Linked DNA regions of Struthio camelus. The protein of the gene in region 1 purifies or fractionates together with the protein of each later gene. This does not show direct contact. Links are inferred from orthologs where the notes say so. Each region holds a gene or a part of one and is shown in the gene's direction. Other genes may lie near its edges.

Region 1 (7,405 bases):
TTGAACCTGACTGCTGTTCCTGGGCCTGCCCTGCCAGCTACGTTAGCACGCTCAGCTCCTTGCTCCCCTGATGGTGAGCTTGGGCAGGGATGGAAGCCCTGGGCTGAGGTGAAATCAGGCTCTTGAGCTCATGGATAGGGGGTGTGGGTGGAGGCCCCAGGTAAGGCTGGTCAGGGCCTCCAAGGCCTATCAGTACCCTCAGAATCCTGGCAGATTAATTGTTAAGATTACAATGTATAAGATTACATCAGAGGAACACTTAGCTCTGTCATCACTCTTTCCAACTAAAGCAATTGTGAGACTGAACCAGCTAACAACTGAGATTTTGGGGGGAGGGGGAAGGGAAGGTATCTAATATAAGCAAAACTTAACTAAGCAAGAGCATAACACTGAAATTGAGGTAATGAATGGTTAGTGTGCTGTGGTTATTCACACTTGGGCTAGCCTATATAGATAAAGGTGGTAACCATGTGAGTTAACTCTGCAGTAAAGTCAGGAAACTGTTTTTAAAGAGCAGTTCCCGCATAGACTAGTTTTTCCCAAACTCCCCAGATAGTGCACTTATTTTTAATCCCAGATCCTACTTGTTTCCAGTCTATAAAGCTGTTTACTGCTTACAGCTCATGTGTTTTCACATGTATTTTGTGGTTTAAGTTCATAGCCAGCATATTTAAACTACAAATGACTAGGTGTGTATATATAGATTTTTGGACCATAGCATTTAATGGAGAGTCTCTTGAATGTGAAATCCTCTCCCCACCCCCTCAACATCTTTGTATTGCAGGGAACATACTGAATGTACAGAATGAAGTACTACAAATAATTAAACACAAGTAGGTATGAGACGCTTCATAAATATAATGTATATACAGTTTTTCCTATTCTCGATAAAATTATTTTTAAGAGTGAGCTGCTTTCATAGTAAATAATATATAGGCTGCCCAATTACCTTGAAGGCAGGATTTCTGAACCGAATATAGCATGATATTGCCATCTAGTGGCACTTGACAAAAATACTACCCTTTTCTTGTAAAATTCTCTTTTCACTCACAGGAGATTAAGTAAGAGAGGGCACAGATCACAACTGATATTAAGACATCTTTTATTAAGTAGTTATTAATAGATTCAAACTCTTATTACTAACAGATAGTTATTCACACAGTGCATTCACTTATTTCCTCACACGGTTCAATTACACGTACACACAATCACCACATATTTACGTGGTCTGAGCAAGAGTTAGGTGGCTGGCCCCAGATGTTTATTCAGAAGCAGAGGGTCACACTGACATGCCAGTGGCTTCTAGGTAGCTGCTGGGAAAGTCCTTTAAGGCATTCTTTCTTCCATCAGGTGTATTTATGATGCTGTAGGCTTGTGTAGTTGTAGTAGCCACAGCCACCACTTTCTTGGATGTGGTCTGAGTTATACGACCTGTTGATGCTTGTGTGTGCTGGTGGCCTTCTACAGATTTGGCAAACTGTTGGTGTACTGAGTGTATCACTTCTTGTGCATTCAACAGGTCTACTGTTCTCCGGAGTTTATCAGTTCTTGGGAGATTTTTTTCACACACAATCTCTCAGCACATACTTTACCTCTCTGATCAGCTTTGTGGTAACATTTCTCCATCCACACCCATAGGTACGTACCTATAGAATTCATTTACATGAACTCATACAGAACGGAATCTTATGACAATTTGGCCTATAATGCAATTTCACAGAATATCGAGACCTTTTAAAAAAAGTTACCCAAGCTTTAGTTTAGAGAAACTAAGTCCACCACAATTAACTACTTGTTTGGGAGAGGCTGAGTATCTACCGTCCAAGATCACAAAGGAAAGACTCTTTATAGTCTTATCTAGAGATAACTATGAAAATATCTTTGGATCCACACCTCACCAACTCTCTCCATATTCCAGCAGTTTTTGAAATGTAAAATGGTAACAGTTTAGGACACTATGAGCCTAAGTATATGCAATTTATTTTTCTGTGTCTAACAAGAAAATATAGTGCCTGTCACACAATATGTCAAGTGCCACCTTTGAGCTGGACAGAGAAGGCCTTGCTATGAAACTCAAGTGTTTAGGGGACTACTGGTAATTGTGCCTGGCAGATTGTAAATGAAGGGAGGAAAAAAAATGGGAAACCACAGAAGTAATAGCTAAGTCCACAACTTTAACATGACAGCTAGTGTCATCCCCCCCACCCCAACAAAAAACTTCAGAGAAATTCTGTGAAATTTACAAGTATTACAAAAGATGTAACTATAAAAAGGTGTAAAATATATGCAAAAAACATTATGCTTTTATATTTAATTAGATTTGTGGAATATGACTTGATAATACTAGTGTATATCTAAGTGATTTTTCATCTCATGGTCTGTGGACCTGCAGGAGCACACAACATAGTCGATGGGAGGTAACTAAGAACATCTAAGCAAAGTGCCAAATGCAAATGCTAAGCACACAAGTAACAAATCTTCAAAGGGCACCTTTCATGAAAGCTGCAGCTTGATTGTTTTGTACGGCATGTAACGTTCCCATGAATTTCAAGTAAAAATCAAGCTGTGACAAACACTTGAGAGTGCTTCGTATAGACAGAAGCTACAAGCAATTGAAACTGCTGTAGGAAAGTCAAGTATTAAAAACGGCTAGTGAGCTGTTTTCTGTAAAGATGCAAGAACAAATGCATCACAGAGCAGATTTTCCCCAACTCAGAGACTTTTGCAAAGGTAACGTTAAGCTTTATGATCTAGATGACCCTGCTTAGAAAAGGTATTTGGAGTACTCTTAGCAACAGTCGTGTCACTCCTCAGTTGTGCTAAGAAAAATGTACTTCCCAAAGGTTTTTAAAAATAAATTACCTGGAAGGTCTACTGAAGACCACTGTGGACCTTGCCTTGTTGCAAACTATGCAACAGACACTGAAGGCAGTAGTGTGCTTAATAATTTGTAATAGCACTGCTATTTTGCAGCTGTTTCACAAGAAGTTTCAGAGCTTCTTGTGGTCTATGCTAGACCATGATTTAGAAACTGAATTCCAGAACGATCAGGCAGTCATGGAAACATTTCAGAAATACAGGGTTAACTCTTCACAGAATGACATCTTTTATTGGACACTATGTATATATTGCAGAGAGGTCTTTGATGCACCTTTCTAAATGCAGTGTATGTGAACTGCATAACCCATTTGCTCAGTTTAGTTGCTGATTCATGCTGAAAGATCTTGATAACAGATACTGAACTTGTTACTGGAATGAAAAAACTTTTATTGCTTGTTCTGCCTACAGGGCTGGGGTTTGATCTATTTCTTTGGACAAGGTATTGCCTCTGCAAGTAATCATCAGGTAAAATGGATGATTTGGAGCTCTCTGTTTTTTAACTCCGCCATCTCAAGGATTGTTTTGGAATCCTTCAGGAGAATGAGCCAAGCTGGAGCTCTGCAGCTTAGAACCTGAACTCTTTGTACGGACAATCAGAAATACGCGCGCTGACAAAAAGCAAACTGAGTGGCTTCATAAGTGCAGCTTTCAACATGAAATATGTAATCACTGCTGAATTTAGAATGATTAAAAACAATGTTTCTAATGAATACCCCTTAAACTACTCTTGGCTTGGGAACACCTTTGGTATACCTTAGCTCTGCAGATGTTAAGGAATCATGTTCCCCCGAACAGAGCATGGGGCACCTAGGAAGACGTACTGGTGATATGCAGCACTGTTTAGAACCAAGGGATATGATTTGCAACTGCGACCGTTTCCTATCTCTTACCGTATTCTTCCACAGCCTGGCTCCTGCAGCGTTGCCTCTTTCCTCAGCTCCTACCGCTCCCCATGTCAGCACGGACGCTTCGCTCTCCCACAGCAGCCGGGACGACGGCCGTGCCAGGGCGCGGGGACATGCCTGGGCTGAGCTGCCACTGGCAGCAGGCTGCGTCCCGTCCCTCGGGGCCTGACAATTACAGATGCGGCAGCGCGGGGGCCTTAGCAGTGGCTGTAGTGGGCTACACACCGTCACGGCTACTGGCTCTGAGAGCACGGCGGTGCCTGGGAGAGCCGAAAGGCCTGCGGGCCGCGGCGGCCTCGCCGTGAGGCGGCGCTGCCGCAAGATGGCGGCGGCAGCCTCGCAGCGCCGCGGCACGAGGCACCAAGCGCCGCCCCGCCCGCCTCGCCTCGCCTCAGGCACGGCTCCAACCACCGCCCCCCACCCCACCCCGCGGCGTGTGCGCATGCGCGACGCCCCGTCCCCTGGCGGCGGCGGGAGAGGCGGGAGCGGCCGTGTCGTGGCACCGCCGCCGCGGCGTGGGGTCTCGCGATAGCTGCGGGCGCGGGAAGGCGGGCGGGGGGCGGAGGCCGGGCCGCGCGCTGTTTGGGGGCGGTGGGGTCGCTCCCCGCCCCCGCCCCGCCCCGCCACCGGCCCCGGCCCGGCCCGGCCCCGCCGCGCGCAGCATGGACGCCGGCCCCGGCAGCGCCGCCCGCTCGGATGGCGAAGTGCCGTCCACCTCCGCGGCGGCGGCGGCGGCGGCCTCTGCGCAGGAGCCGGCCGCCGAGGAGGTACCGCTCCGGGGAGGGGGCCCGGGCGGGCCGCAGAGCGCCCAGCGCCAGGGCCTGTGCCGCCCTCCCCGGCCGGCCGGCCGCCCTTGCCCTGCGCCCGGCGGGGGGCGGCGGGTCGGGGCTCTGCGGGGGCGGCGGGGAGGCCCCGGGCTCGGCCGCGGCGCGGGGCGGGCGGGCAGCGCGGCGGCGGCCTCGGCCCTGGCGCCTGGGGCTCTGCCGGCCGCGCGCAGCCCCGGTGCGGAGCGCAGCGCTCCCGAGAGGCTGCCCCGGCTGGCGGCCGCCGGCCTGCGGGGCTGGTCGGAGGAAAAGGTCCCACCGGGACGGCCGGGCTAAGGCCGCTAGCCGCAGCGGTGTTTTCAGGTATCCTTGGAAACCGAGCAAGATGTAAGCTGAGGAAGGAGCCCTGTGAGAACTCGTGCCCGGGTGCTGTGGCGTTGCAGAAGCTGGCAGAAATGATGATAGCGCCGTCAGAATTTTAACTCCAGCTGGGGAAAGTCTGTTTCTCCCTGGAAGTCCATTCTTCCCTGAGAAGAACGCCTGTTTCTTGCACTCTTGTGCGAGAAGGGCGGTTGGCTGTGAAATAGAGGGCAGTGTACTTGTGAACATCACCTGATGGTTCGGGAGAAAAAAGGATTATCTCTCTGTTGGATACAGCTTGTACTGTCAAATTGTATACATCTCAGCTGATACAAAATTGATAATAAATGTCTAATGAGTATCTGGCGAGATCCTTTGGGAGTAGTGAACAGGTTAGAATGTATCAACCATACTGTTCCCTACCTTTCTTAAGGAGGAGGAAAAAAAAAAGGAGGTTGCTGTTGTTTGAGGTTTTCATTCAGACTATGGAATTTCACTTCCATAACTCTACAGGTAGGAAGCTACATAATAATGGGATATAATGCAACCTGTTGCGCCCCTTTACCCCTTTCAAGGTTTTGCTTCGCTATACATAGTCTCTTGTTGCAGCAGCAGTCTAATAGAGTCCGAAGTTAATGATTGTTTGCAATGTGTTTCCACTTTGCATATGTGAGTTCAACACAAAAGGAGGTCCTTCTGATTAATGCATCTATTTAGAAAACTCAGCAGCACAGGGTACAGGAATAAAGTCGACCAAAGCAGCAGTTCTTATTCCCAGTCATTTATTTAGGCATTCATGTGGATAATCCAATTTAGGACAAACTATTGCACTGACTAGATAGAATTCTCTCTCACAGCCTGAGGTTAGTAGCTTTGTTTAGACTAGTTAATAGAGATTTTAAGGGAAAGTGTTTTGGGTCCCTGGAATGCCTCGGGCTCTGTTTTTGAAAGAATTGTGCAATGTTATTGATCATAAGATGTTTAAATGACACAATTTTTCAGTGGGCTATGTTATCTCAAGTTTAATCTTTAGTGGAAAATTTTTTTAGGGTAGAGGTGGGTAATAACCAGATGGTTCCTTGCACAAAATGAGTTAAAAGTGAAAGTACCCTTTTGCTGGTATATATATTTTTTTGCACTGAGGCTTCTGCTGATCAGATTTTCTGTTAAATCAGTCCTCTTACTATTGAAGATGCATTGTTTCTAGCGTATTGTTTCTGGGGTACGACTCCCATAAACTTATGAATTGTTTTGTGCTTCTGTGTTGTATTAGACATATGCTACAGTTAGTAGGAAAAGAGAAAAGCTTTCTTATTCATATCAAAACGTAATAATTGGCAAGCTCTAGTTTTTTATAAGGCAGGATATTACCCAGCAGCAAGTTCAGATGTGGTGGTCGTGCCTGCTACCCATCTAGCTCCACCAGCAATGTTTTGAGGAAAGAGTATGCTATGGTTTCACTATGTAAGTTGTCAGGAAGAGAAAGGATACTGGGATGCGTATGTCTTAAGTTGTTTGTGTGTTACTTCAGTTTTTGATAGTCTCCTCCTGTTCATTACTTCTGATATTGTGGGGCCATCAATGATCTGTAAATCAGATGAAGAAACACTGCAATGAGGAGTGAGGGTGAGCAGGGAACACCCTGCTTTTTCTTGAAGTGTTTTTCTTGAAGGTTACGGTGTAGAATGTGAATTTACCATGCTGTAGCTGTGGTAAATTTACATACCAGTTCACTTACTTGTTTAACTGGGAAAGCGTATTATTCACAAGTAATTATTTCTGAATAAGCTGGATGGGTATGGCCAGTGTGAAATTTCCTTCTGCTAGGGAAATCTGAGTAACAGGACAGACAGTCTGGTATTAGAGCCATCTGCCTTTGGACTTGTAATGCAATAGCTTTCCAAGGGGATTCTCATAATATTGAACCATTCTCCTCTGTCCAGGAGAAACTTCAGACTCATCTGAGGTAGACAGATGACTTAATTTTTTGAGACACATTCATTTACATTACATGTTCATTTAGGAGCATGTTAATTTATTTCCGGGGAGCTGAAAGAAACATCTGAAATGGGCTACTGTGAAGTATTTTGTCACTTTGGTAACAAGGAGATTGTTTCCAGTATTAGCATTGGTAGTCTTTCACACTGAAGTTTATGCTATGTTACATAGTAATCTAATGGAGGCATGGGTATACACATGTGTATGAACTGCTTTTTTGTATGTTGGCATAACAGCCCTCTTGTAACACTTCTTTCTGAATCAAGCTGTCAGAAGTTAAGTCATTTATCATAGAAAATTTCTGATGCTATCTACTTGCAACATAACCATTTGGCCTTGGAAGCTGAAGTCAGGCATTTATAAAATCATTAAATTGTCAAACAACTTTATTATACACTTAGTACTGTTCATCTTTGCAGAGATTTATGTCTTTGGGCCAAAACTTCGAAAGGTGTTCTCCAGCTTCAGATTATGTTCCTCTTATTTATGTCCTTCCAC
Region 2 (7,796 bases), on another chromosome or scaffold:
TTAATCTTTGCTAAATTGAGCAAATATTTCAGGTCTTTTCAGAGAAAGTGGAAAGCATTCCTCCCTTCCTTTTACTTCCAGATGAAAGATTTTGTCCTACAGGAAAGGGGACTTTCAGTCCCTATGTCACCTATGAACTTTTTTGTTTGTTTTTTGGCACTTGGAATTTGGCATTTTTCTTAAAGGAACAGCAGCACAGAAACCCAGTGTCAATGCTGAGCAGCAAAAACGTGAAGCTTTGATTTGCTCCATCAGCCCCAGAGTTCTTTCACAGTGCGGCTCTACACGGTATACGCATTCAATTGATGGCCCGTTTGAGGGGAAAGGAAGAAGGAGAACATGGGGATAGGGAGGAACGTATATGGAGGGAGGGGAACAGCCGGGGTGGATATTGAACAGAAAAATCAGTAGGTAGGTAAAGTCTAACCAATAGCCTAGATAAGTATTGATCAAGAGGACTACAGCACACCAGGAAAGAAGCCTGGTCACAACAGGCTTTGGTTTTGTTTGGTTATGAGCAGGAAACTCAAAACCAAAGGTGGCATGGAGGGGAAAAACCACACAGGATTTGAGAATGGAGATATTTATCACAGAGGAAATGCTGGATTGCATTCATCAGGCCTTTGCTCTCTGTTCAGCAGCAGAGGGAGAGCAGAGATTTCTGTGTTTGAATAATAAATCTAAGGAAGTGATTTAAGAACAGTGTAAGAATCTGGCAAAGTGAATCTACCTTAAATAATCATGGGCGGCTCTCAGCTTCCTTGCATAAAAAGATAACAATATAAGAGAAGACACAATTGGACAGAAAGAACGGGGACGATAGAGGGAGCCAAATTAATTCAAAAAATCTTAGGGGAAATTAGGATTGTAGCTTTTCTGACAAAAAAGAGAGATTAGGAGACTTTGTTAAGATTCACAAAATTCTTAATGGGATAGAAAGTGGGGATACTACAAAGCTATTTGACCTAGTGTCAAGAACAAGCTAAGATGCAGCAATAAGATAAGCCATAGCTGGACACTACAGGAATTCAGGGAGGAATGTCAAGACAGAGCAAGACATAAATGCAACATAAACTCCCCTTACATAGCAACAGGACAAAAAGATTGCTCAGTGGAAGAACCAGCATTATTTGAAAGGCAAGTAATACTGCAGTTAACTGTCCCACAGAAATCTGTGTCTGAGGGTTTGTGACCCAAAGATTTCTCACGCAGAGCTATTGGTATTTTATACTGGTCTGAACTGTGTGTTGTTAAAGTATTTCATGTTGGGCTGCAAACTCCTCTTTAGCGATTACCATATCTTAGCTGAAGCTGGTTTAATCCAGTGCAGGCAGATACAATACACAAGAGATCAGACACTTCTTTGCTCAGTACCAAGGCTCAGAGTCACTGCATCTGGAAATAGAGTCATGATTTCAGTACAACATATTGGTTTCACGTAAATAATAAGTCGTCAAAGGCAAAAGGTTTTTTTTAAAGTAGTTTTGGGGAAAACAGACACAAATACTGTACGTAGAAAGGTAAATTATAAACTGGCTTGACGGCGTGTGTTTCAGGAGACGTTCTCTGTTGTGGGTGTGGAATTTACAGCAAATGAGAAGGGGGTTGGACCCTGAGGAGTGCCTGATGCTGCTCCATGCACCACTGATGCCCATATCACTATTTATCCTCATCGCCCCTCCATTGCTAAAGCAACCTTTGCAGCCCCTACCCACAGAAGAGCAGAGCAATTGCCATACCAGATCAGACCAGTAGCCCTTCCAGTCCAGTATGCTCACTTTGACAGTTGCTGCTGTCTGATACTTCGAAGAAAGGTGCGAGAAACCCTGTAGTGGACAGTTATAGACTAACCTGGCCACGAGGGAAGTTTCTCCCTAATCCCTCACCATCAGTTAGTGGTTATGCTGTGCCTTGAAGCCTGACAGTTTATATCCCTCCTAAAATTTATTTATATCCTGTCTAATGTGACCATGAATGTTCTTAGTCTCCATATAAACGTCTAATCCTTTTCTGAATCCTGCTAATCTCCCAGCCTCAATGAAACCTTATGGTAACAAATACTGTGTGTTAATTGTACACAGTACAAGTATTTCCTTGCACCATTTTAAACTTGATTCCTTCCAATTTCATTGGGTATCCCTTGATCCTGCAATATGAAAAAGGGCAATGAACTCAGAGATTGTTTATTCTTGCTGACAGCCCAACTGCTGCATCTTTGTTTCTTCTCTAAATGAAGTGTTCCTACCCTTGGCCAAAGTTTTCATGGTAAGGCTGGTACAGCGTGGTCAGCTGTACACGTGGTCACACGTGTACAGCTGGTACAGCACAGCTCTCATACCTTCTTCTTATTCTCTATTGTCAACTTCCATTTAGAAAAGAAACAGGGAGAGGAAACTAAAAAATATCAAAAATAGATGCTTGAGACTGTTTGAAATCACATTTCTGAGAGCCATGGGCTGCTCTATGTCAGCTGGTATTAACTCAGCAGCAACAATGCCATTGCCAGCTGATGCTACCAGCCTTTCCCTCGCTTATGCCTTCAAACCAGAGACAGACCAGGATATTTGCAATGTGATTTCCCCTTCGCCTGATCCAGTCTGTCTTCAGGCTACTCCTGAAAGGGGAGGTTGTACTCTCCCTTCCGTCCCTTCTCAGGCGTTTCACTGCTTCTTTGCATCAGTGCTGGTGACCACATGGCGGGGGGATTAATCAAGTCACTTCTGCTGATCCGAGAGAAAACTAATTCTTTGTCACCATCATTAAAAAAAAAAAAAAAAGGCAGCCTTCTGTCAGATCAGTGAGCCACATCACCCAGCAGCCGGACGATTGCTAACTCTGACACAAGGGACAGGGCAGGGATATTGTCAGAAGGCGTAAAAATGATGCTCCTTTTGGGGGCAGCCTAAGCCGGATTGGGGGTAACGGAAACCATGCCCTAAGGCGTTCAGCCGAGCCTGCTGGGGGACTCCAAGTGTTGGGGCAGAGCACACCTCTGCCACGTTTCCAGCATTCATTGAGAACACATTTGGGGATATCAAACAGGCAAGATTTGAAGGCATTATCAATGCTACACTGCCTCAGGCTTCAGCCTGGGCTGTAGGTATCTCAGGTGTGCCTTCCTGCACGGACCCCAGCACGTCTGCGAGCAACAGCCTGTCAGCCTCTGCCAGACAGAAAGAGGAGAGGCTGAAGATGAGAAAGTTAACAGAGTAAAGGAAAGGAAGGGCTAGGAAAAGTAGTGCTGGTATAAAAACGTCCCCAGCCAGATGAAGGTAGAAAGGAGAGGAAGGAAGGAGAGGAAGGAGTCCTAAACTGTAGTTAAACATGTCTTTGCAAGCGTTTCACTGGAGGTAAGATCCTAAGCTGGCACAGCTGTGCACAGTAATACTTTGCAACTGGTTTGAAGCTGGACTGTAGAGGCAAACTGAGCAGCTGTAACGTAACACAGGGTCAGCATACAAAGCTGTTACCAGCGTAGTATTTCATTACATCTCTATACCTTGTTATAGTCCGTCCTGCAAGAAGGTAATACCTAATTCTTGCTGAATGCTTTTCTCTTAACAGATTTCCAAACGGGGCACTGTTACTCTCTTCACTGCAGGGCCAGGAGAAATGGAGGTACTGGGCACCCGGGTGAGACGTTAAAGCACCTCAAGAGAGAGGGGCTCCCCACTCCTTCTGCCGCAGCAACGCAGGGAGAACGAGAAGTGCCACTTGGCCTCCCTCACTTACAAATATAAAGCGAGAACAGAAAATCTGGAGGCCCGGCCAGGACATGGCAGGCTGGGGGACACTGGCCGCTGCTCAGCTGGGCCGCTGCAGGGCAGGTGCCCCCGGGCCGCCTGGGGAGCCGAGGCCTTGCCCTGGGCTGCTCGACGGCCCGCAGGGAGGCCGGGCGGGCGGCGGCGGTTGAGGTGGCGGTTGAGGCGGCCGTTGAGGCGACCGTTGAGGCGGGAGGTCGGGGAGGGCTGAGGCGGGGCGGGGAGCGGCCCCAGTGGCAGCCGTGTCGGCGGCAGTAACGGACGGGGCTCCCCTGCGGCGGGGGAAGGAAGCCAGCCGGGCCTGAGGAAGGGCTGCGAGGTGTCTCCGAGGGGCTCAGCCCCGAGAGGCGCCCCGCTCCCTCGCCTCACGCCGGCCGCGGAGCGCACGGCCGCCCCCGCCCCTCGCCTCGCCCCACGCCCCGCCCCCCCGGTAGGCGTGGCCCGGGCGGGCGCCGGGGGGGCCTGTTGTTGTGATGAGCGCCAGCTCCACCCCCTCCTCGTGCACGGCCGCGCGGCTCCCCCCTTCCCACCTCGGCCCCGCCCCTTCCCCTCGCGGCCCCGCCCCACCGGCGTCCTTCCCACCTCCCTATTGGCCCGCCCGCCTGAGGCTACCCCCCCCACCAACCCAAAGGCCACGCCCCCTCCCCCCCCCCCCCCGGCGCCCCATCTGCTGCTGCCGGCGGCGCGGCGGCCGCGGTGCATGGCGAGGGCCGCGGCGCGGGGAGGCGGAGGCGGGCGGGCCGGCGCGGCGGCGGCCGCCGCCCGCCCGCAGCAGGGGCAGCAGCAGCAGCAGCAGCGGCAGCAGCAGCAGCGCCCCCGCCGGCCCTAGCGCCCCCCGCGCCAGCGCGGAGCGGCCCCGCGCGCGGGCGGGCGGGCGGGCGGCAGCGAGGGGGCAGCGCGGGGCCGCCGGGGGGCGGCCGCGGGGCGGCGTGGCGCCGGGGGGCGGGCGGAGCGCGGCGGCGGCGGCGCGCAGCCGCCCGCGGAGTGAGGCAGCGAGCGGGCGGGCAGAGCCGGCGGCCGCGGGAGATGTGCCCGGAGGAGGACGGCGGCTGCGGCGGCGGCGGCGGCGGCGGCGCGGCCGGCTCCGAGGCGGCGGCGGCGGCGGCGCTGGACGAGCTGCGCTCCTGGTGGGAAGTCCCGGCCATCGCGCACTTCTGCTCGCTCTTCCGCACCGCCTTCCGCCTGCCCGACTTCGAGATCGAGGTGAGACCCCCCCCTCCCACCTCCGCCTCTCCCCCCCCCCTCCTCCGCCTCCTTCCCCTCCCCGGTGTCCCCTCGGCCGGCGGCGACTCCGGCGCCTCCGCCGGGCGCGCTCGCAAAACTTTCGGTGCCGCCGTCCCGGAGCAGCGGCGGCAGGCAGGACCCTCCCCCCCCCCCCCCCCCCGAAACGGGGCGCACGACCGGGGCAGCGGGCGCGGCGGCGGGGCCGCATTGTCCGTGCACACACGCAGACACAAAGCGGGGGGGGGGGGAGGTCCGCGGGTCCCCGCGCCCCCTCCAACCTCGCCTAAAATGGTGGCGACGAGAGGCGGGGCGGCGCCCCCCCTGCCCTGCTCCGGTGCCCCCCCAGCGGGCACCGCCGCGGCCGGTCGTGGCGGCCCGGTTCCCACCTGGCCGCGGCGGCCGGAGGTGCCGCCTTCCTGCAGCCCGGCCGGCGCGTCCCGCGGGCGCGGGTTAATCCGCCGGGGAGGGCTGCGCTCATTGTGCGCCGCGCAGGGAAGGGGGGGACCGGAGGGGAGGGGGGACGGGGCTCTGTGCAGGGCAGACGGGAAATTTCAGCCCAGCTGCGGTGCCTCGAACACCTTATCTGTCCGCCCGCGGAGAGACGACTCGCTGGTTTTGTGCTTTTTCCAAAATTTCCTTGTGCAACTTTCCCGTGCTGCCTTTTTTTTTTTTTTTCCCCCCTCCCTTCCCTTGCGTGTGGCTAATGTTCTGTAAATATTTTGCGCTCTGGCTACAAATGTTGCAAACAAAGTGTGTCGGGGTAGGAAATCTTTTGTGCTTGCGGTGAAAAGCTATTCTTGCCAGCACATTGGCAATAAACCGGGTGAATAACATGGTGGCGTGCGTTTTTTAAAGACAGTAATTGCCCCGGGAACGCGAATTGCATCGATGCTGGAAAGTTCAATAGGATGTGCGAAGCCCTAAAGAGCACAACGCCTTGAGCAGGATGCGAATTTCTGAAGCGGGGGAATCCCTTATGCAGTGCGAAATCTTGAAAGGGGGTAAGGTCTCTCAATGATGCAACTTCTTGCGAAAGGGAACTCCCCTCCCCCTCCTATTGAGGCAAAACCATTAAAGGGGGAGGCTCTCCGGCCGCCAGCGCAAAGTCTTGGAGGAACCTGAATTTACAATGATAAAAGGGCCAAGGCGCTAGCCTTTCACCTTTGGAGGCAATTAGCATCTGGCTTGCTTCACAAATGAAGTAAATGTGGGCTCCCCTTTGGTTCCTAGAGCACGCTTAGGGTGGGGGAGTTAACATCACTGGGAACAAATTAACTGCTTTTGGGGGTCGCAGGGGGAGAGGAGATGCGTGCGCACGGGCTGGGGCTGAGAGCGATATGAAGCACGACTAGCCCACCGAAAACGTCGCCAGCAACGTCTGCGCGTGGGGATGGCCTGCTGCGTTTTGCGGAGACTGGTTTTAAAGGGTGACGCCTTGTACGAGTGCCAGTGGACATCACAGTTAAAATCTGCGTGCTGCAAGGGGACAGATGCAGCTGTGATAGCTTTGCGTCTTCGGGCGTGCAGAGTGCATCTCCTTCCCTTTCCCTGTGTGATATCAGCAGTCTAGTGCAGGCTGCTTTAAAATTTGCTCTTCCTTGAAGTTCACCGTCTTGTTACCTCTTCCCTGGTGTAGTTGTTCCCCTCTCATCAATGGTTTCAGGGATATCTGGGAATGGTGTGTTGCACAAAGAGCGTACACTGTTTATGGAACAAAACCATAAAGGGACTTAGTAAGTAATACTTTTTTTTTTTAAGGGTGTTGCTTTATGTGATTCTTGATTTGTATGTTAGTCAGCTGCATAAAGAAGGCTTCTCCCTTGGTTTCTCACTTAGGAAAGCCTGTGTCCCTTCTGGCCATCTCACAGGATAGTCTGGTGCATCCGAGAGAGGCTTTGAGTTTCAGGGGCTTCTGCACGGAACAGAGATGGCCGTCTTTCTAGGCGTTTAAGGAACGCCAGCCCCCAAGGCAATATTTGGGGGGGGGGGGGGGAATAGCTAGCCACCAAAAATGAAACTATGCGATCATCTACAGATGAAATTTTCTTACTCTGGCTTTGGTTATCGCAGGAGGTACACTTGTGGCTGAGGGCAAGTGGTTTGAGAAGTTACAGTCCCCTCGGTCAAAAGTTACTGTCCCTCATCTGGGATGCGGTAATTGAGGGGGTGACTGCCCCAGTCCATCGGAACCTGTTTTCCGATGTATTCAAATAGAAATGGAAAGCTCACGCGGGTCACTTCAGAGTGTTTCAGCTGAAATGCTCTGATGTTCAAAGTGCTTTGTAGCAAATGTTTGTCCACCTGCGCACCCCATGTCCCTCCAGGCCGGCCTTGCTTGGGATGCAGTCGGATGCTCCTGGAGGATATTCCCCTGATGGGGAGGGCCCAGGTTGGTTCTCAAGTAAGAACCTGGTTGGTGCCTTTTTATGCTAATATAAGTGTATCTCCAGTGAAGAGTTTGCTTAACTCTTACAACATTGTTACGATGGTGAAAGTCTTAAGCTAACCCTATAGTTGTGCATGTAACAAATACCCCTTGCTTTTTCAGTTGCTCAGACCTTACTGCACTGCGGGATTGGAGTTTCACTGCTGTGGTCACTGCAGTTCCCAAACTGGACAAAATCTCATCTTTTAATACGCTTTTTCTTTTTTTTAAAAAAAATAGAACTATTATTTCTTGTTTTGTTTTTTATTCCCCTCACCAATTTGTTTTCTTCTGGTAGCTCTGCCCGTATTTAGTCAGAAGGTGCTATAGTGATAGGCCATCTGGACCTGTCCTGCCCTGACTGAGCAGATCTGCTGGTAATACTT

Evidence for each region. The genes of interacting proteins can lie anywhere in the genome.
Region 2: the proteins of SMARCA1 (region 1) and CECR2 purify together in Homo sapiens (affinity purification with mass spectrometry; 3 studies listed by BioGRID and IntAct, with this or other methods). This does not show direct contact. The link is inferred for Struthio camelus from reciprocal best matches to the Homo sapiens genes SMARCA1 and CECR2.

Annotation. Positions count from the first base shown.
Region 1 is NC_090952.1:9,558,188-9,565,592, forward strand, and holds the start of SMARCA1 (probable global transcription activator SNF2L1), read left to right. Parts: upstream 1-4,402; 5' UTR 4,403-4,447; coding exon 4,448-4,552; intron 4,553-7,405.
Region 2 is NC_090942.1:70,502,768-70,510,563, forward strand, and holds the start of CECR2 (chromatin remodeling regulator CECR2), read left to right. Parts: upstream 1-4,787; coding exon 4,788-4,964; intron 4,965-7,796. UniProt on the Homo sapiens protein: Regulatory subunit of the ATP-dependent CERF-1 and CERF-5 ISWI chromatin remodeling complexes, which form ordered nucleosome arrays on chromatin and facilitate access to DNA during DNA-templated processes such as DNA replication, transcription, and repair.